Sus scrofa: one gene and its partners. The protein of the gene in region 1 interacts with the protein of each later gene in a pairwise test. Links are inferred from orthologs where the notes say so. Each region holds a gene or a part of one and is shown on either strand. Other genes may lie near its edges. The genes, in order: C2H11orf68, CSDE1 and EIF4H.

Region 1 (7,192 bases):
CTTGGGCATCTTTGTGGGGCCCACGGGGGCCTGGCCAGGATCCCTCCAAGCCTTGGCCCACTTTGGTCAAGTGCAAGGCACGGACAGTCTGAGGAGAGCAGGGCACCAGGCTCCAACTCAACCACCCAACTCTGGGGACTTCCCAGGATTGGGCTGAGGGGGACTCAGCTCTGGGGAAGCTCCGGGTGGGGAGGAAGCTGGGGAGGGGGCCAAGCCAGCATCTTGTGACTCACCCACTTCCACCCAGTCAGCCTAGTGGCATCTCCGCTCCCCTGTCCCACATTCCAATTTGATGAGGCTGCTGGAGGCTGAGTCAGCGCCTGCACAGCACGAGAGCAGCAGCCCAAGGGGCTCCCTGCCAGACACCCTGGCCTCCAATCAAGGCCAAAGCCAGGGCTGGGGCTGGGGGCTGGGAGCCAGAAGCCATAGCAGCCTCAGCTGAGTGGTGTGGGCCTGTGAGGTCACGTGAGTGAACGTGGCTGCTGGGCTGTGAAGGGCTAATTGTAGGTGAGGCCAGGGACCACACTCTGCCCAAGGAGGACTGGGGTGCAAGTTCTAACTCTGCCCTGCCCAGCTCACTGCATAACCCTGAGGGAACGCCCTTCTCCTCTTGGGCTCCATTTTCTTGACCATAAATTGGGTCAAAATCTCCTGTCAGGTCGCGAGAATGAAATAATCCACATGAAGTGCTTTGCAAACAGTCTAGTGGCCTCTGCGATGTTCAGGGTAGTGCAAGAGGTGAGTGTAAACGAAGGACTTCCAGGGCTACTTACGGTTGTGCAGGTTGTTCACTGCACAAGGATATCCAGCTTAGGCAGCAGAAACCCAACCCATCCTCTGCCCACCAGACCATATGCCCTGGCCTAAAACTGTCAGGACCAAAAGGGTACCTTTCTCTAACAGACACACATACGCCCAGTGGGCACAGTTCCTCAGAGCTGCTGGGCCAAGCCCTTGGATTTATGGGTCATCACTGAGATTACCCCCAAATGGATTCTGATTCTGGGAATGGAAGGGACACAGAGCTGGCTTTGCAGAAGCTCTCAGAGAGGTATCCAGCCTTGGCAATTATGGGGCCCAGGCACAGTTTCTGCTGGCCCTGCCTCTCTCCAGCGACCAAAGCAGGAAACCACCAGCACAGCATTTTAAACACTCAAGACACAGACCCAAGTTGGGTTTTATTGAAATGCCAGAAGCAGGCACATGATAAGGTAGCCAAAGAAAGAGGGAAGGTGGTAGGGGCTCTGAGGTGGCAGGGAGGGGCAGGCCCCATGTCCATGGCCCTGGCCCCCTCTCTCTGCCAGGTGCTGAGTGGGAACAATCACCCGTCCCCAACAAAATGGCATGCTCAGGCCTGCGGGGGCCTCTGCCCCTAGACCGTGAAGGCTCCAGGGAGAGGGATGGAAGCACGAGGCTGTCTCTCTTGTGAGGGAGGGAGAGAAGGGGAGGATGCAGGAGGAGGGAAGAGCCAGGGGAGGGAGCAGCCAAGGCAGGCTCTCCTCCTGGCGTCTGCACCCAGCCCGTGGTCCTGGATGACAGGGGGGAGCAGCGGCAAAGAGAGGCTGAGGGTCCGGCCCTCAGGGAGCCAGAGCCTCCAGCCAGTGAGGACTCGAGTCAGCCCTGAACACAGGACCAAAGTTCAAAGGGACCGAAGATGCAGGCAGTTTCCGAGTAACCTAGTCCTCAGAGCTGGGGGGCTTGGCCTCCGTGGGACGAGGAGGGGGAAGACGAGAGGATCCGTCCCCCGCAGGGGAGGCAGTGGGTGGTCTCTTCCATTTGGTCCCACTAGGTCAGCTCCACGTTGTTGGCGCGGTCCAGCACCCGGGAGCCACGGGCGCTGCCTCCCAGCTGGAAACGGCTCTCATAGAGAGTGGGGCAGAGGTGCCAGCGGTTGGCCCGGTAGATACCCAGGTAGGTGTAGACGTCAGGCTTGTAGGTGAGCAGACACTTAATGCCTGCCGCGCGGATGGCGGCATCTGCCTCCAGTACACCCAAGCGGTCCGTGAAGTCGTCCGTATAAACACAGATGACCTGCCGCCCACCCTCCTTGGCCCGTGGGCTCACCTTGGCTACCTGAAGCCGGCCCTCGACCACGGCTCGAGCAATGCCAGCCCAGGCGTGATCCAGCTTGAAGCCAGGTGCCAGGTGTATCAGCCATTTGCCCGAGAGCACGTGGTGGGTGATGGCCAGCTGGCGCAGGGTACCTGGTGTGACGGGGCGCCCGCTGGTCTGCAGAGCCTCCCAGGCTGCCTGCAGGCCCTGCACGTCGCCTGAGTTGGGGACATAGCCCTGCCCATATGCTGCAATCCAGCCCACGGGCTCAGAGTTGGGAGAGCCAGGGTCCCCATAGCGGGTAACCTGGGATGGTGGGTACTTGGCCAACCAGGCATCCAGCTCCGTGGCAGGTGTGGTTCGGGCATCAAACACCAGCCAGGGGTCCATGTCAGCTGCCATGGCCTCTGCGGCCAGGTGCTCAGCAGTGAAGCCATCTTCACGACCACCTGGAGAATCTTCATCCTCCAGCTCCTCGCCTGGTTCCATCCTGCCGGGTGGGAACCAAGTTAGGGCAGGTCCAGGACAGATCCAGCTTCCTGGGCCTGAGCACGTAGGTGCCAGGCACTGAACTAATCCCTGCGGCCTTGGGCAAAACTTAATGTCTCTGTGCCTCAGTTGCCTCATCTGTACAATGAAAAATAGCTGCTCCCGTCTCAAACAGCTGTAGAGAATTAAATACTAGGAGGTGGAACAAGAACTATATAAATGCTGTTACTATTATCACTACTATCCTTGACCTACAGAGTAGGAAACTGAAGCTCACAGAGGAGGGGGCTTACCCAAGGTCACACCTGCAGTGCGTGAAAGGGCCGAAAAGTGAACTCGGGTGTGGGGGCCGCCGGCCCAGCTGCGGCTCCCGACGCTGCCAAGGCAGGCGGGTCTCCCGGGCGCTGGGATGTAATGGAACGAGGCACCCCGACAGGCCCCACAGGGCCAGGCCTCCAGGCGGGCGTTATCCCGCCTACTTAAAGACGAAGACATGCAGGCCAGAGAGGGCAGTGACCAATCCGAGGCCAACGGGCCGAGCCCGGACTCGAACCCAGGCTTGTTAGAGCCTGCGGGAGGGCCAGCCTCCCGCCCCGCCGCGCCCGCCGCGCCCGCCGCCATTAGTGCTCACGGCCCGAGCAGCGCCCCTGCCCCGCCCCGCCCTGCCCCCTCCCGCCGCCCGGGCGTCACCTCCGGCCTTCGCTGCGCTCGGCGCCGGCCCAGCCCCGGGCCCGGCTCCGCTCCTGCCGGGGCTCCGCGCCGCCGCCGCCGCGCCCCGCCCCCGCCACGGCTGCAGCCGCCGCCGCCATCTTATTGCCCCGCCGCCTCAACAACAACTTTATAGACAAGCGCAGCATAGGGCGGGACCGGGGGGAAGGGGCAGGGCCGTCGGGGCGGTGCTGACCCCGGGGGCGGGGCCATTGGGAACGCGAGGCGGGGCGGGCCTGCGGGGGGCGGAGCTAACGTTCGCTCTTCAGGTCTTGGGGGCGGGCGGTCGCGGCCGTCCAGTCCCGGACAGACGCGCACCGGGCGGGAGGCTGTGAGGGGAGGGCGCTCGGGCCCCGCCGGCCGAGTGCTGACCGGCGGCGCTAGGACCCTGTGGGGGGAGTGGCGGGGGCGGAGGAGGCGGCACCAGGACCCGGGGGAACCGCGGCGGGCGGGCGACGAGCAGGCCCGGGGGCCGGGAGGCTGCGGGCGGCGGCGCTGGGCCCGGCGCGGCGAGAGAGGCCCCGAGATGCCGAGCAAGAAGAAGAAGTACAACGCGCGGTTCCCGCCGGTGAGCACGTGGCCGGCCTCGGGAGGAACGAGCCGGGCTCTCGGGAGGCTCCGGCCCAGGCCCGGCCAGGGAGGCGGGCGCATCGCGCCGTTCGGGGGCCCGGACGCCCCGCCCCCTTCCGTGCCCTCTCCGCGTCGGTGCCCCCCGCCCCCTTCCTCCCGGGATGCTCCCTCTCTCTGCCCCCCGCCCCGCGCACCCTTTCGGGGGCCGCGGCGACGGGGTCCGAGCTCTCTGCCCCTTCCTCAGGCACGCATCAAGAAGATAATGCAGACGGATGAAGAGATTGGGAAGGTGGCGGCAGCTGTGCCTGTCATCATCTGTATCCTGTCGAGGGCTGGCTGGGTTGAGGGAGGCGGGGGAGGCCGGCAGCCCCGGGTCGCTTTTTGGGGGCCAGGACATTGTTAGAACCCGCGTTCGCCTTGACGACCCTCAGCTCGGGCGCTCGAGCTTTTCCTGGAGTCACTGCTGAAGAAGGCCTGCCAAGTGACCCAGTCTAGAAATGCCAAGACCATGACCACATCCCACCTGTGAGTGGCTCCGATCTGGGAGGGCTCGTGTGGGGCCTCCGCCCGGAGTCCACACGCTTAGGGGAGGCTGTGCCCTGATAGGGAGGGAGGTGGGAGGCGGCTGGGCGAGGACTCAAAGGCTGGTAGGTTTGAGTTGGCAGGGACTGGGTATTCTAAGAAAGGGGGCATGGCTGGGATTGAAACGATCCAGGCTCTGTTCCCCTGACATCCAGAGAGCACTTTGCTGAGAGTACAGACATCTGTGCCTCACCTGAGTGCCATTCCCTCCCCACCTCTTCCAGGAAGCAGTGCATTGAGCTGGAGCAGCAGTTTGACTTCTTAAAGGATCTGGTGGCCTCTGTGCCTGACATGCAGGGAGATGGGGAAGACAACCACATGGACGGGGACAAGGGTCCTCGCAGGTGGGGAGTCAGTGTCCATGTGGGGAAGGCCAAGGCCCCCGGGGTTGGAGGTGTCTTGGGGGATGGCAGAGGAGTGGGGAGACCTCTGGGCAGATGGACTCCACCTTCCCGAAGGGGCCGGAAGCCAGGCGGCGGCAGCCGGAAGAACGGTGGCATGGGAAGCAAAGGCAAGGACAAGAAGCTGTCGGGGACAGACTCGGAGCAGGAGGTGAGCTGAGGCCCCAGCCCTCTGTCCTGCCTTGCAGGGTGGAGAGGGCAGCCTTGCATCAGGCCAGGCCCAGCTGGCTGGAGGCCTGGTCCCATCCTCACCTGTGACCTCTTTGTGTTGGTTGCCTTGCACATGGCGGCTGCAGAGGTCCGGCTTTCCAGTAATGGGCCCACGCCTTTCTTGTCGCCTCTGATTCCTGTCTTGTTCCCAGGATGAGTCTGAGGATACAGATACTGATGGGGAAGAGGAGACATCACAGGCCCCATCCCAGGCCAGCCAGCCCCCTGCCCACTTTCAGAGGTAAGCAGGTCGGTGGCACCCAGAGGGGGCCAGCTGGTCCCCAGCTGCCTTGTCCTTTCTGACCGCTCAGGCGCCTTGGTTCTGTTGGTTGTGGCAGATTTGGGAGACGGGACGGGAGGAACTGAAGAGGACTTAACGGCTGGGTTCTGTGCTCTCAGAAAGTCCCCTCCCCCGGGCAGGGCTGTGTGCCCTGGGTCCTTCCCTTCTCTGGGCTCGGCTCCCTGCTGGTAGAGGGCAGTGGGCTCCAGGCCTGCCTGGCTGGAGGACCGGGTGGGGCTCAGCGGGCAGGACTGGGCACAGGTGAGTGGCCTGATCTTCCTTTCCCACTTTCTGCCCTGCAGCCCCCCGACACCCTTCACGCCCTTCACCTCGACTCTGCCTCTGCCCCCAGCGCCCCAGGTCCCCGCAGCACCTGACGCAGAGGACGAAGAAGATTATGACTCCTAGCGCCCTCTGCCCCCCAGGCCACACCCCCTTTTAGCTGCTCTGGGGGGAAGAGGGTAGAGCTGTTCTTAAATTTATTAAAAAAAAAAATAAAAGGGAATTCCAGTATCCGTCCCAGCTCTTGTCCAGGGCCTAATGGCCTCCTTCCCCACACTGAGCCAGGGCCAGGGCGGCTGGGCAGCAGCTGACTGAAGGGGGCCGGGCCCGGGGTGCTGATGGCGGGAAGGTGGGCAGAGTGCTGGAGGGCCTGAGCCGGCAGGTGCCAGTCATGCCGGGAGACAGCCTGTCTTGTTGTGCCCTGTGACCCTGGGCGGGTTCCTACTCTGAGTAGCCTGTTCTTGTCTCTCTGAGGGAGACCATTCTGCCCCCTCTGGGCTGCTGCAGAGAGACAGATGGGACAGGTGACAGAGACAGCTCTTGAAAACTAGAGCTGGAGCCAGTGCCCTTGAAGGGCATGTGGGAAGGGCAGCGGGAGCAGAGGTAGGTGAGGTCATGGGGGACCTGGAAGGCCGGCTTGTGAGCCCCCAGGGGCCCTGAGCAGACCCTGGAGCTATGCATACGAGGCCGATGAGGCGGATGTGTTGTGTTCAGGGAGCAGCGGCCTGGAGAGGCCAGGGCAGCGATGGGCAGCCTAGAGGTCCGGGTTGCCCACAGACGTGAGTGCTGATGGAAGGGGCTCCTCAAGGACTCGGGTGTCTTCGCGTGGGGGTGGGGGTGGGGGTGGGGGTGGGGGTTCTCCTCTACCCAGGAGACGGGGGAGAAGAGGGTTAGGAAGATCACAGGGTCCGCTGTGATGAATTTGGGGCGCTGTGAGCCCACTGAGGCGGGGTTTGGAGTGGCACTTGGGTGGCAGGGCTGGAGACAGGTGTGTGAGCAGAGCGTGGGAGGGCCCTGGGGGACCCCAGAGGGGCCCCAGGAGCCGCTGCGGTGCCCACCAGGGGCTCCAGGGAGGAGGAGCAGAGGCGGGGAGAGCGGGATGGGACTGGCCGCGAGGGGAAGCAGCGCTCAGGACTGGAGGTGGAGACCACAGAGGGCAGCGGCTCCCGGTGAGGGGGGGGTGCGAGCTTGTGAGGGAGGGGCTGCAGGGATGGCAGGGCACTGAGGGCCGGAGATGGGGTTCCTGCGAGCCCCCAGCCTAAGGGAAAGGGGCGCGTGGGTTTGCTGGAGAGTCGAGGTGTCCGTTTTTACCTGGCAGTGTGTGACTTCCCCGCCAAGTAGGAGGCAGGGTGGCAGCCCTGGGCTCAGGGCGGCTGGAACTGGGGGCACGTGGCTTGCATCTGCTTCTCATCTGCTCCTGCTCTGTACTTACTTTTGGGGAACCACCTCTGTGCAGCCTGTGAGGTTGAGGAGAGGGGACCACCAGCCTGGCCAGTCAGACACAATGAGGTCATGACCCTTCTGAGTGTGGCCTCTCCCACTTGGCACACGTGAGCCCTGGGACTCTAGGCGAGCCCCTGAGAACGGGTTTTGACAAGATTGCTGGCTCCCCCGTGGT
Region 2 (7,092 bases), on another chromosome or scaffold:
TGCACACAACATATTCCACTTAATTCTCAATTTTGTGAAAAACACCAATATGCAAGATGAGGAAACCAAGGTTGAGAGAAGTTAAGCAATTCACACATTATGTGGAAGAAACCAGGATTCCAAATAAGACCCAAGCTTTATGATAGTGTAACTTCCAGAAATTAAAAATCTACAGGACAATGCTCCAAATACTTCAAAAGTCTACTAAAGCCAACTCTTTAGTTTCTACCTCAAAAATCTGTGAGCTAAGGCACAGAAGGACTTAAGATTTAGGTCTGGGAAAAAAAAAAAAAAGGCAATCCTATACTCATGTTTTCCCCTTCTTTCCAAATTATTAGCTTTGTGAGGGCATTATATTCAGAGTAACTGGCAATTGGTAACTCACCAATAATCTACTCATGACATATTTACACATTACAGAGATGATTATTCTATAATCAGTTTTGAATACAGCCTAAATAATATCCTAACATTTAATTCTTGCTAAATTCTACAGCAGCCAAGCTATTCAACAATGTATTTAGGAGTTCCCTTCATGGCTCAGTGGTTAATGAACCTGGCTAGCATCCACAAGGATGCAGGTTCCATCCCTGGCCTTGTTCAGTGGGTTAAGGATCCAGCATTGCCATGAGCTGTGGTATAGGTTGCAGACATGGCTCAGATCAGGCATGGCTGTGACTGTGACTTATGTCAGTGGCTACAGCTCCAATTAGATCCCTAGCCTGGGAACCTCCATATGCCATGGGTGTAGCCCTAAAAAGACCAAAAAAAAAAAAAAAAAAAAAAAAAAAAAGTCTCAAGAAACTTAAATTATCATTGAATGTATACAGTTCTATTAACACCGAGATATACTGTAGATGTTATGATCCCTAACAGAACTGATAATGTTAATTCATGAAAACTGAAGTTGTAAAATATTTTTGGGCAACAATTCCCCATCTGTCACTTCTGGACATATATCCATTAAAAAGGATTTGCAAACTCCTGCTGCAAAAATAAAAGTAACAAAGACTACTTAACTTCGTTTAATCTAGTGTTTACTAAACATCTTATGGAACCTAAACATCTTATGGAAAACCTACTTTCTACAGTAATGCACTTAAATTTTTCTAGTCTTCAGATTTAATGGCCAGAGAATTACTGACTCTCAAAAGGCCTTAGAAATCATCCTCTCTAGCTCTTCATTCAAAATAAAATCTTTTCTTGGAGTTCCCGTTGTGGCACAGTGGTTAATGAATCCGACTGGGAACCATGGGGTTTTGGGTTCGATCCCTGGCCTTGCTCAGTGGGTTGAGGATCCAGCGTTGCCATGAGCTGTGGTGTGGGTTGCAGACGAGGCTCAGATCCCGAGTTGCTGTGGCTCTGGTGTCAGCCAGCAGCTACAGCTCTGATTGGACCCCTCGCCTGGGAACCTCCAAATGCCACGGGAAGCGGCCCTAGAAAAGACAAAAAAACAAAACAATACAAAACACCTTTTCTCATCCATTTCAAGACATCTAGCAGAGCTAGGAGTCAAACCCAGATTTGACTCAAATGTCTGTATTCTTATCACCTTAATGAGGTAATTACCCAATACTGTCATAACTCAAGAATTTTCAATACCATATTACGAACTTGAATATAACATTGCCCTGCCTGCCCCTTACACTGAATACGTATCTAATAATAACCAATATTTACCATTTCTCTGGCTTCATTAGTGAACTGAAATGTATTTGATAGAACTTCTATGTTGGTTGCTCGTTCTAATTTGTCACGACGGTCTGTTGAAATATTAAACCTAACATGGTCACCTTCCAGCAGGGTCACCTTGGATTTTGTATCTTTGTCTCCAAAGGGAAGTTCTTTAGGAATCACAAAATCAACTTTGATGCGTCCTGGCAATGGGTCATTCTGATGAGAAGGAAAAACTATTTTAGCTGGAGATTTCTCATCCTTCCTAGTTTTAAGTCAAACAAGAAGAACACATAGCAAACCCACGTTATTTATAATATATAATCCCCTAAAAAAAAAAAGGTGTTGATAACATAAGTCCAATGTGAAAGCCTGGTGTTCTATGGTCACATGACACAATCATAAACCACAATACTGAAGTTACAATCCTGCACTCTGATACTGAGAGATTTTATTTAAGAAAAAGAACTTCAGTATTTTATGCTTTACATTTCCTTAGCAATGATACCACTGGTTTCATCTCCTTCCCTCTGAAAAATCAAAACTGGGAAATATACACTCGAACTATTTTTTTTTCCAGTCCAACCAGCATTTTTTCTTTTGTCCCTTTCTCTGTATCATCCAGTTTTAAAAAAAAGAAAGAAAAGCATATTCATGGATATATCAATGGTTTCTTATTTAAACATACATATTAGGAAATATATGTTCTATAATCACAAAATTATATTACTTGAATGCAATACAAATTCTGTACACCGTAACCACCATATTATTCTATTACTAATGAGGCAAAAGATGATTCTTCTGAAGGAAACAAAACAAAGCAAAAAAATTATTCACCTGGTTTTTACTGGGTACTTTTGGGATAACTTTGGTTACAGTTCCTTCAAAATGTTCAATGCTAATATCTTCAAAAATGACTGTTCCTTGAGGCAAGAGTCTGACATCTGTTGCAACTTCTTTACCCTAAATCAAAAAGAGTTTAGTGGGAAGAGGGATGTCATTTTAACTGTTTCCTCAAATTTTAACTCATTACTGACCTTAAAAGAAGACCAAAGAGCCAGTTAGTCAACTCTTACATTTCTGTCCTTGATTGTGAATTCCACGTCATCTCCAGGTTGTAAGGTTTCTAAGTCACCCTTAAATTCACTATAGTGAAAGAATATCTCCTTTACAACATCACCTCTTTCAATAAAGCCAAACGCCTCCTAAAGCGAAACAAGCATGAAGAAACAGCAAAAATATTATGTACTATTCAACTTGCACACTTATGATTACCATTTACAATCAATAAGCCTTTTCATAAAACACTACTACAGTGGAAAAAGGGGTAAAGTCTAACATTAATACCATTGATGGCCCATTTTAAAGAATATAATTAGTAACCAAAAAATCTTAAGATTACCTTTGAAGTTAATGAAATATGTTTAAAAAGAAGACAAAGAAGAAAAAGAAAAGACTTGGATCTGAAGTATAAGCAGTCAAAGAAAAAAACTCAAGTTTCTCAAATTTGATAACACTTACCTTCATGGCACAAACTACTCCCTGACAACGGGCTTGTTTCTTTTTCAACAGCATAATATTACGAGCACTTACAGCACCAGTACTGGAAAAAAAAATAATGGGATGGGGATGGTGGGGACCAAACAGGGATGAAAAACAAAATGGCTTGGTTAGATCTGAGTTTAGAGAAACAATAAACAAGTTTTCTGAGGCCTCGAGAACTTTATATCATCACTAAGAGCGAATATAAAGCTTATAATACATAATTCTTTTCATATGATTCCTTATTCAAAAGACTTACTGCTCAAACTCCCTGGCCTTTTTTTTTTTTTTGTCTTTTGAGGGCTGCACCCACGACATATGGAGGTTCCCACGCTAGGGGTCATATCAGAGCTTTAGCTGCCAGCCTACGCCACAGCTCACGGCAACGCTGGAGCCTTAACCCACTGAGCAAGGCCAGGGATCGAACCCGAAACCTCATGGTTCCTAGTTGGATTCGTTTCCGCTGCGCTGAGACAGAAAGACCCTCCCTAGTCTTTTAAATCGGGCACACATACATGTAAATTGTTCTCTTGGACTATTAAAATAAGGTCATGAACTGGTTGCAACCAAAGATAGGGAATGCTAAGTTGAACAAACATTGAACAGGAACTATGTGCTCTGAACAAAGGTATGGGGGATACAGAAGTAAATAACAAATGGTCCTGTCTGCATTGAATGCTAAATCTAGTAGCTATCCCATCAATTACTTCTGATTAAATAGCCATAAAAGAAATATGAATCAACAGTGAGAAATTTGCTATACTTTGAAAAAGAATGATACTCACTTCCAGTGAAAACAGATACATCACATGTTACTATATGTCCCCATCCTTCAGCAGCAGCAATGTAAATCTGATTCTGCTTTAAAGATGGTACGGACAGTATATATAAGATGTAATAGTATTTGTTGGTGTAGTTGTTTTCAATATCTACAGACCAAGCAATTACTTTCCTTAATTCTTTATGGACAAATTTTAGCCCAACTGTTCTTTTTACTTCAAAAACTTAACAGACCAGGAGTTCCCGTCGTGGCGCAGTGGTTAACGAATCTGACTAGGAACCATGAGGTTGCAGGTTTGATCCCTGCCCTTGCTCAGTGGGTTAACGATCCGGCGTTGCCGTGAGCTGTGGTGTAGGTCGCAGACGCGGCTCGGATCCTGTGTTGCTGTGGCTCTGGCGTAGGCTGGCAGCTACAGCTCCGATTTGACCCCTAGCCTGGGAACCTCCATGTGCCGCGGGAGCGGCCCAAGAAATGGCAAAAAGACAAAAAAAAAAAAACAAAAAAAACAAAAAAAAAACTTAACAGACCAACAAAGATACTAGAAAAAAATCCTACTTGCTTTTGCAACTTACTACAGTGAAAAGGCTTTATGTAGAGCCAGACTGGCATTCCAATGTCAGTTTAAAAGCTGTATGACTTTAGGCAAGTTACTTTATGACAACAAAGCTCATTTTACAGATGAAGAAACTTATCTCAAGTGAGGCTGTTCTGAGAATTAACAACTGTACATAAAATATAGTAGTGCTTAGCACATTCAAGAACTTAACAAAGGTTATGAAGTTCCCATCATGGCTCAGTGGTTAATGAATCTGACTAGGAACCATGACGTTGCAGGTTCGATCCCTGCCCTTGCTCAGTGGGTTAAAGATCTGGCATTGCCGTGAGCTGTGGTGTAGGTCGCGGACATGGCTCGGATCCTGCATTGCTGCGGCTGTGGTGTAGGCCAGCAGCCACAGCTATGATTAGACCCCTAGCCTGGGAACCCCCATATGCCATGGGAGCGGCCCCAGAAAAGGCAAAAAGACAAAAAAACAAAACTTACTAAAGGTTAAATAAAGCCCTTTCACTGGCTCCCCACTCCCTCAAACTCAAGCCCTTTTCCCTTATTTTCTACCTGAGATTAAATTTGGCCTCAGACTAGTACTATCCATACCTACAACAAGCAGATTCCTTCTAGTCTTACAAGAGGTAAGGTTCAAAGTTAACAATTCTGCACATACTCTTGGGACTTTCCTATACTGCCAACGAGAGTCCATTCCTAACACTTTCTCCAGCTTTCTATTTTTAACTTTCTTCCCTACTTGTATCTGACTCTCTGGCTCCAAAGTAAAATAATTATGCTGGGGCTTTCTTAACTACATTTTCCCTAACTGCTTATGCCAATGAATTCAACAGCTCTATTTCCTGCCCATCACTAGCCTATACAGACATGGAGCTACATATTCAAGGTCTTCAGACACCTCAAATCCAAAATGCCAAAATAAGGACAATTCTTCTCCCCCTCTTAATACTTTGTTATGTATTAATTATTTCTGGACTTTCCTTACTCCAGTTAACAGTATCATCTATCCAGTAGCTAAAGCCAGAAAAATGGCACTTGGGACTCCCAATACCTTAGTTCCAGTACACACTTCTAAGAATCTGACCAGCATCCATTAAGACACAGGTTCAATCCCTGGCCTCACTCAGTGGGGGTAAAGGATCTGGCGTTGCTGTGGTGTAGGTTGGTAGCGAAAGCTCCAATTCGACTCCTAGCCTGGGAACCTCCATATGGCTCAGATGTGGCCCTAAAAAGACAAAAAAAAAAAAAAAAAAAAAAAACAACCCAAAACCAAAAACAACTTCTGTGGAGTTCCCTTTTGGTGGCTCAGCAATTACTGAACTGGACTAGGATCCATGAGAACGCCGGTTTGATGCCTGGCCTTGCTCAGTGGGTTAAGGGTCTGGTGTTGCCGTGAGCTGAGGTGTAGGCCAGCAGCTGTAGCTTTGATTCGACTCCTAGCGTGGGAACTTGCATACGCCACAAGAGTGGCCTTAAAAAGCAAAAAAAAAAAGTTAAAAAACTTCTCAAGATGACCTACCTTCTACATCAAAACACTCATGGCCTATCTATATTAGTCCCTCATCTTTCATATTAACTCTCGTATCACTGCCTCTAGCCTACAGCATCCCTACTCTCCAAAAGCCTACCCTATCTCCACCACTTCCAACAATTAAAACCAACCATATACCCCCCCCATTTAAAATCCTTCAAAAACTGCTATGACTAATGAGTAAAGTTCAAATTTCATCTTTCTATGATACAGTCAATTCAAACAACTCAAACTTTTGGCTACTTCTCCCAAATGATACCTCCTCTACCCAAAAGGTTTTCCTTATCTCCCTAATGAGTCCTCATCTCAAAACTTACTTCAAGCACTGATGCTTTGGAAAAACCCTTTCTGAGCTCTAGACCAGCCCCTTGAAAGCTCTGGAACTATTTTAATGTTTTAATTAGAACATAATTTATGTTTTAATTATCTACCTATTTCTTTTTTTTTTTTGGCCACATCCACTGCATCCAGAAGTTTCCAGACCACAGATCAAAGCCATGCCACAACACTGACAATGTCAGATCCTTAACGTGCCAGGCTACCAGCGAACTCTCTTTATCTTCTTATTTCGGACACCCTACAGTGCCTGTCATAGAACTGACCCTCAAATGCTTAGCTGATGAATAAAAAGTTTAAAAGATCATGAAAATTATCCAGATTTACAGGTCTGGTTTTTAATGTGCCCCAAATTTCCTACTTCAAAAAGAAAAAAAAAATCATTTAGGTGGAAAAAAAGAACTTACTGTTTATTGTTATCAATTACAAAGTTTATCTTATCTCCAGTTTCCAGCTGAACATTCCCTTCGACATCTTCAGGGGTGTAAGTCAGATAAAACACTTCCTGTGAATTAACAAGTAATTATTACTATACTGGCAGGATGCATGTTCACTGTATACTGTGATTTACTTTGTTAAATATTTCTTAAACTGGCATTTTAAGCCAGATTTTTAAAAATTAAATGCCTTTTGACAAGTACATAGTTTATTCATATAAATACA
Region 3 (7,092 bases), on another chromosome or scaffold:
GAAAACACACTTCAATTTTCTCAAGCAATTCTGGGTTAAAGATGAGGGGTCTGTACTATTTCCCTATATCCAAACTACCACTTTTTGTTCTGTCCAGATGGCAGTAGACTGAAGAACCTAAAAGAGCATATTTCACTTTTCAATAAACAGAACTTGACTAATATCCCCCCCAACCCTTTTTTTTTTTTGCTTTTTAGGGCTGCACCCGCCGCATATGGAGGTTCTCAGGCTAGGGGCTGAATCAGATCTGTGGCTGCCGGCCTACATCACAGCCACAGCAATGCCAGATCCCACTGAGCAAGGCCAGAGATCGAACCGGCAACCTCATGGTTCCCAGTCAGATTCTTTTCTGTTTCGCCACGATGGTTAATTCCCCTCTTAATTATATTCCTTTTTGCCCCTTTTTATTATGTTCTAGCAGAAACTGCTAATCAAGTAGGCACTGAAATGGCAGCTGTGTCTTTATACTAATGAATTAAATATAACAGGTCTTCAGTGACCTGCCTTCCTTGGGTCACTGAAGAGCTGTTAGTTCTGACTCTGAATGACTTCAATATAACCCAAGAGGGGCTTTAAGACACAGACTGCAAATTCGATACCAAACATGCTTTGAAGGAAAAGGCTAAATCTACCTATACTCACTACTCAGGGAGCTGCATAAAAAAACATATACCCTTGGCAACAAGTGCATCTTCCTTGGGATGCCAATTAATTAAGGAGAGCGGACGGAGATGCAAGCATGCTTTACGGACAACCTGAGTCCCTGATGCTAGATTCTGACAGAGGCCTGTAAGCAGAGAACTCCAGACAGAGGAAACCCCGCCCTCTTTCTCACCTTGAAGGAATAAGCCTTTCCTTCTACCTTCAGCATTCGTGTCCATGCCCCTTCCTTGCCATCTGGGTCAAACACTCCCTCTGCCCCGTATGCTCACTGCACCTCTATTACCACCCCTCCCCATGCTGTATGATGATGACACTTCACCTTCAAAGCCCATTAAACTGCAAGTGCTTCAAAAGCCTGAGGCCAAACTTTTTTGTTCACCATGTGCTTATGTAAAGAATATACTGCATAGGAGTTCCCGTCATGGCGCAGTGGAAAAGAATCCCGCTAGGAACCATAAGGTTGTGAGTTCGATCCCAGCCCTCGCTCAGTGGGTTAAGGATCCAGCATTGCTGTAAGCTGTACGGTAGGCCAGCAGGTACAGCTCCGATTTGACCCCTAGCTCGGGAACCTCCATATGCCATGGCTGTGGCCCTGAAAAGCAAAAAAAAAAAAAAAAAAAAAAAAAAAAAAAAAAAAAAAAAGGAATATACTACTTAGGTGGAGCTCCCCTCTCCCCATCAAGCCAATTCCCCTCAGTGGATTCATTCACTGTTCAGGGAAGTGAGAAAACCACTTCCAAGTTCAAAGAGGCAACACCAGCCTAGTCACACATCTCACATCCTGGAGCTACTGAAACTACCTCTGCCCTTCTATGAGACAAACTCTAAAACCTGCTGCTACCGACCCAACCCAAAAGGCAGCTTCACCCACACATTTTTACCTTACAATTGGTTCTTAAGGCTTCCCAGCAGTGGGACTTACCTTTACCAGCTTTACTGATGTTTGTTTCCACTGTCTGCTCACTTACTATAACAAGGCCTTCTTTAGGTTCTTAAGTCAGAAAGCTTTCAAAATGACAAAAATATATACAGAGCCACTCTGATGAGCAGCAGCTATGCTTCTTGTACACCCCAGTCCCTCTACTTTTCATGAACACACTTCTTTCTGGGTAATAAAGCAAACCAAATGCCCTGTATCTTGCACCACACACTGAAATACAGGGCATTTTGGTTCCGGAAGCCTTGCAAGCGATGACAATGCCCATGTGATTCCTCATTCTCACCCCTTCTCTACCCGTGATTAACCTGCAGTTTGAGTCAACCCCTCCCCACACGCAGGCTCTGAAGTCACAAGTGTATAATGACAACGTGCACTAGGTTCCCTTTTGGACTCCATAATAAACTAGATTATGGGAACACCACCAAGGAAAATGCATGTGTCAGCCAAGGTGCGATGCACCTGAAAAGTCCTGGGTTTTAACCATTCATTTATTGTGCAGTAACTCCTTTTCTGGCAGAGACAGGCTACTATATAGGCCAGGCAAACTCCAGATTTACTTGGCTATAGGCTACCTAATTCTACAAGCTAGATTATGTATAAACCATGTCCCCTCCACCCGCAACAGAACTGAAGACCTATGAGTTAAAGGGCTAGCTTATTTTATCTGCCTGGATCAGGCAAATGTTTGAAACACTTTCACAATTACAGCCTCTTGGTTTAGACCCTTCCCTGCCTAAAATAGTGCACAGTAAAAAATCCCCAAACTCACCTTTAAATTTGTCTGTGTCTTTGTCTCTGACTAGCCGTACACTCCTTATGCTGAGATCCTTAAAGATAGCATCTATGTCGCCCTGAACCGTATTAAAAGGTAGATTTCCTACATAGGCTGTGTAGGGGGGCTCTGTGGGCAGCTCCTTCTGGCTACGGGAACCATGGCCACCAGCACTGCCACGGGACCTAGGAGGGAAACAGACAGGATTCAAGTCTGACCACCTGTTCCTGCCCCAGAGGGCCAAGGAAAACATCTCCCACTCAGCCACACCACCCAGGTGAAATAGTCCTATCTAATGCATACAACTACTTCCGAAATGATGACGTGTATTCCAAAAAAATCACCTATGAAAAAGGTGCTTACTTGTGGATGACAGAAATGTCCACAGAAACACAGAATCTATGTCGACATACATTTCCCTGAAAAATCAAATCCAAATATAACATCCTCCTGTAATGGTTCTCTCCTATCCTTGTAGGAGGAGAGAAGTTCAGCCAGTGCCCTCCCTCATACTCAGTGCTGACACACACAGAAACAGACTGTCCACTTACTGCCCTGAAGCTGAAGTTTGACACATTCATAATACAACTGTCTTGCTACGGTCTGATTAGAGATGCTATGCTCTAACAGAAATGTTATTAGCAGAGTTCTCGGGGTGGCTCAGCGGCTAACGAATCTGACTAGGAACCATGAGGTTGAGGGTTCGATCCCTGGCCTTGCTCAGTGGGTTAACGATCCGGCGTTGCCGTGAGCTGTGGTGTAGGTTGCAGATGCGGCTCGGATCCCACGTTGCTGTGGCTCTGGCGTAGGCTGGTGGCTACGGCTCCAATTCGACCCCTAGCCTGGCAACCTCCATACACCACGGGAGCGGCCCTAGAAAAGCCAAAAAAGCCAAAAAAAAAAAAAAAAAAGTTATTAGCGTTTGTGGAGCAAGTACCGTGTAAATACCACTCTCCACTCCATGTACTGCCTCCCTGACGCTTCAATTTTATTTTATCTTATATTTATTTATTTATTTTTCTGGTCTTTCTGCCACTTCTTGGGCCGCTCAGGCGGCACATGGAGGTTCCCAGACTAGGGGTCGTATTGGAGCTGTAGCTGCCTGCCTACGCCAGAGCCACAGCAACACGGGATCCGAACCACATCTGCAACCTACACCACAGCTCACGGCAACACCGGATCCTTAACCCACTGAGCAAGGCCAGGCATTGAACCCGCAACCTCATGGTTCCTAGTCGGATTCGCTAACCACTGAGTCACGATGGGAACTCCCCTGAGGCCTCAATTTTAGGGTGCATATTAATCCATTTAAACCTCAATGTCACTTCCTTAGCTATGACAAGAGGTGTTTACTTGTCCATGGTTGTAGGGTTTAAAAGTGGCAAAGGCGAGATAACTTGACTCTTACCACATCATTGCTAATTTGCAGGGGTACTGGTTTAAATCCCAGCTCTGCCACATATGCACACCACCATATAACCTTGAGGAGTTACTCAATTTCTCTAAACTTTATTTGGAAATCTGGGTTTATACTAACCAAGACCTTGAATTATTGAGAAATAATACAAGGTGCTCCATATACTGCCTGACACACAGTACACATACGCAGAGTAGCAGTGACCATCACCGCAACAGTGACCACTGCCATCTACAACCTGAGGTTCAAAGTGTTTGACAGATAAATTTCTTTTTGGCTGCAAATGTGGCATGCAGAAGTTCCTGGGCACGCAGGGAATGAACCAATGCCACAGCTGTAACCCGAGCCACAGCACTCATAACGCTGGATCCTTAACCCACTGAGCCACAAGAGAACTCCAATAATTAACAAATAAATGGGGCCATTATACATTTGTCAAAGCCCATAGAATGTTCAGCACCAAGAGAGAACCTTAACGTAACTTAGTGATAATGACACTATCGATGCAGGTTCACTGACGGGACAAGTGTACTGCTCTACTCTGGGGAAGCAGTAGATAGCAGGGAAGCTGTCCCCCTATGCATTTGTGAGGGCAAGGTTTTGTTTTTTGTTTTTTGTTTTTTGCTTTTTAGGGCCACACCCATGGCAGAAGAGGTTAAGCCATGGAAGTTTCCAGGCTAGGGGTCAAACCAGAGCTGCAGCTGCTGGCCACAGCCACGCCAGATCCCAGCCATGTCTGTAACCTACACTGCAGCTCATGGCAACAATGGATCCTTAACCCAGAGTGGGGCCAGGGATAGAACCTGCATTCCCATGGATACCAGTTGGGTTTGCTGAGCCACAATGGGAACTCCAACACTTTTTTTTTAAAGCAGAAGGACCAGGCTATGATATAATCCTTAGCTAAAAAATTTAAGTTTAATAACTCAGAACTCTGCTACTTCCCAATAGAAAATCCTTCATTCTGTCCTAGAAATACCAGAAAAATAGGTTTTCAAGTGACCATCACAGCAGCAGTGACCACCGCCATCTACAACCTGAAGTTCAAAGTGTTTGATAGATAAATTTCTTTTTGGCTGCAAATGTGGTTTATAAGTTTACTTATTCTGCATTCCCATAACCATAAAACCTAAAATATTTTCAGCAAGATATTCTTTGGGACTGGATATTGAACGTGTAAGATACCAAATAACATTTGGGGAGTTCCCGTGGTGGCACAGTGGTTAACGAACCTGATTAGCATCCATAAAGATGCCAGTTCGATCCCTGGCCTTACTCAGTGGGTTAAGGATCTACAGCTCTGATTCGACCCCTATCCTGGGAACCTCCATATGCCACGGGAGCGGCCCAAGAAATGGCAAAAAGACAAAAAAAAAAAAGAAAAAAAAAAAAGAAAATGGAGGTATGGCGTTCCCGCTGTGGTGCAATGGGATCAGTGGCATCTCTGCAGTGACTGGACACAGGTTTGATTGACACCGTGGGTTAAAAAGGACCAGGTGGTGCTGCAGTTGCAGCATAGGTTACACTTGCAGCTGCAGTCTGATCCCTGGCCTGGGAACTCCATATGCCGAGGGGTAGCCAAAAAAAAGAAAAACCCCATAATATCAATTGTGTGAAGTCTATGGTAGATTAGGCCTGCTTCAGAATACAATGGTCAGGAAGCAGCAGACTGACCTGTGGTATATAAAACAGGCCAACATCCTGTGAAACTGGATTGGGATGATCATTATACAACTACAGATGCGGTTAAAAAAAAGAAAAGAAAAGAAAAGAAAATAGGCCAACAGATGAGGCAAAGCTGGAGGTCTGGGTAGACACCTCCCCGTCCCCCAACCCTGCAGTTCAGAAAAAGAGACCTGGAGTGCCCGCCATGGCTCAGTGGAAACGAACCTGACTAGTACCCATCAGGATGAGGGTTTGATACTTGGCCTCCCTCAGTGCATTAACGATCCAGCGTAGCTGTGGCTGTGGTGTAGGCCAGCAGCTGTAGCTCCAATGCGACCCCTAGCCTGCGAACTTCCACAAGCTGGCAGGTGCATCCCTAAAAGGACGACGACAACAAAGAGAGACCTGATAATCTGTGCTGCTAATTCCCAGGCCCTATCACCCCCACCGCTGAGCAATGGTCCCCCCTGCTCATTACTGCTGCCCATAGGAGACAGTCTATATGCAAATTTTAAAAGTAATGACTATATCCTCAGTAATTTAAGAAATTCAACTTTCAACTCCAGGTGCGATTTTCCAAAACCCATTACAGACAAATCACTTTTCTTCATTCAAATCAATAAAGTAACAATGTCTATTAAATACGGAGCACCATGCTGAGGGCACAAACCTGAGATTCGGTTCCTACCCTCAAGGAGACCATAATTCAGCCAAGGGGGTCCAGGCACCTAGAAAGGGTAAATCACATCCCAAGTAAAGGACTGCAGAAAATTCAGGAGAAAGCAGGGTGCACCATTTGAGCAAAAGGAAATTGGATTCTATTTTCCAGACAGCAGACAAAACACTGAAGTCTAAGATGGTAACATATAAGTGAAGATACATAGGAGAGATTAGAGGAAGCATGACTACAAGAAAAAAAGAAGAGAAGAGAATATTAGGGCTGAGATTAGATTTGGTAAGCGGCTGAAACAGAAGATCAAGTGCTCAAGACCTGCTTCCAAAGTATAAAAATATATCAGTAAAATACAATAAAAAATAAAGGACACGTGCTGTTATTTCTGGGAAACAATTTTTTTTTTTTTTTTTGGTCTTTTTAGGGCTGCACCCATGGCATAGGTAAATTCCTAGGCCAGGGGTGGAATTGGAGCTGAAGTCACCGGCCCATGCCACAGCTGCGGTGACATCAGATCTGAGCCACGTCTGCAACCTGTAACACAGCCCATGGCCAATGCTGGATCCTTAACCCACTGAGTGAGGCCAGGGATTGAACTTATGTCCTCATGGATACTAGTCAGATTTGCTTCCACTGAGCCATGACGGGAACTCCATTTCTGGGAAAGAATTTTACAAAGATTTTTAGATGCATTAGAAACTATACCGGATTTACATACGGTTGCTATCATTCTTAAAACTTTAAGACCAGTGCCAAGATACCATGACCATAAGAGTATTAACCTCTCTGGTATTTGGAACACTGGGTGCTCTGCTACTTCTGGGTGATATCTGAGGTAGTTCATCAGGGCTCATCAACAACTTTCACGTGCTGTCCCGAAATACTTATGAGCATACTATCCTGTGGCATGAGGCACTATCCTAGAGCCTACATAAAATCACAGTAAGACTGCCTTCATGAGA

What was found.
Region 2: the proteins of C2H11orf68 (region 1) and CSDE1 interact in a two-hybrid assay, tested with the Homo sapiens proteins (2 studies listed by BioGRID and IntAct). The link is inferred for Sus scrofa from reciprocal best matches to the Homo sapiens genes C11orf68 and CSDE1.
Region 3: the proteins of C2H11orf68 (region 1) and EIF4H interact in binary tests that used the Homo sapiens proteins (3 or more experiments, as listed by UniProt). The two-hybrid records come from large-scale screens. The link is inferred for Sus scrofa from reciprocal best matches to the Homo sapiens genes C11orf68 and EIF4H.

The regions. Positions count from the first base shown.
Region 1 is NC_010444.4:6,408,238-6,415,429, reverse strand, and holds C2H11orf68 (UPF0696 protein C11orf68 homolog), read right to left. Parts: upstream 3,485-7,192; 5' UTR 3,399-3,484; coding exon 3,232-3,398; intron 3,182-3,231; exon of another isoform or gene 2,835-3,181; intron 2,543-2,834; coding exon 1,786-2,542; 3' UTR 1,144-1,785; downstream 1-1,143. Other genes in the region: DRAP1 (dr1-associated corepressor), read left to right, coding at 3,776-3,817, 4,064-4,136, 4,251-4,344, 4,626-4,953, 5,165-5,253, 5,595-5,700.
Region 2 is NC_010446.5:105,823,715-105,830,806, reverse strand, and holds part of CSDE1 (cold shock domain-containing protein E1), read right to left. Parts: intron 6,935-7,092; coding exon 6,837-6,934; intron 3,281-6,836; coding exon 3,199-3,280; intron 2,883-3,198; coding exon 2,754-2,882; intron 2,641-2,753; coding exon 2,515-2,640; intron 1,894-2,514; coding exon 1,681-1,893; intron 1-1,680. UniProt on the Homo sapiens protein: RNA-binding protein involved in translationally coupled mRNA turnover.
Region 3 is NC_010445.4:11,333,090-11,340,181, reverse strand, and holds part of EIF4H (eukaryotic translation initiation factor 4H), read right to left. Parts: intron 2,561-7,092; coding exon 2,373-2,560; intron 1-2,372. UniProt on the Homo sapiens protein: Stimulates the RNA helicase activity of EIF4A in the translation initiation complex. Binds weakly mRNA.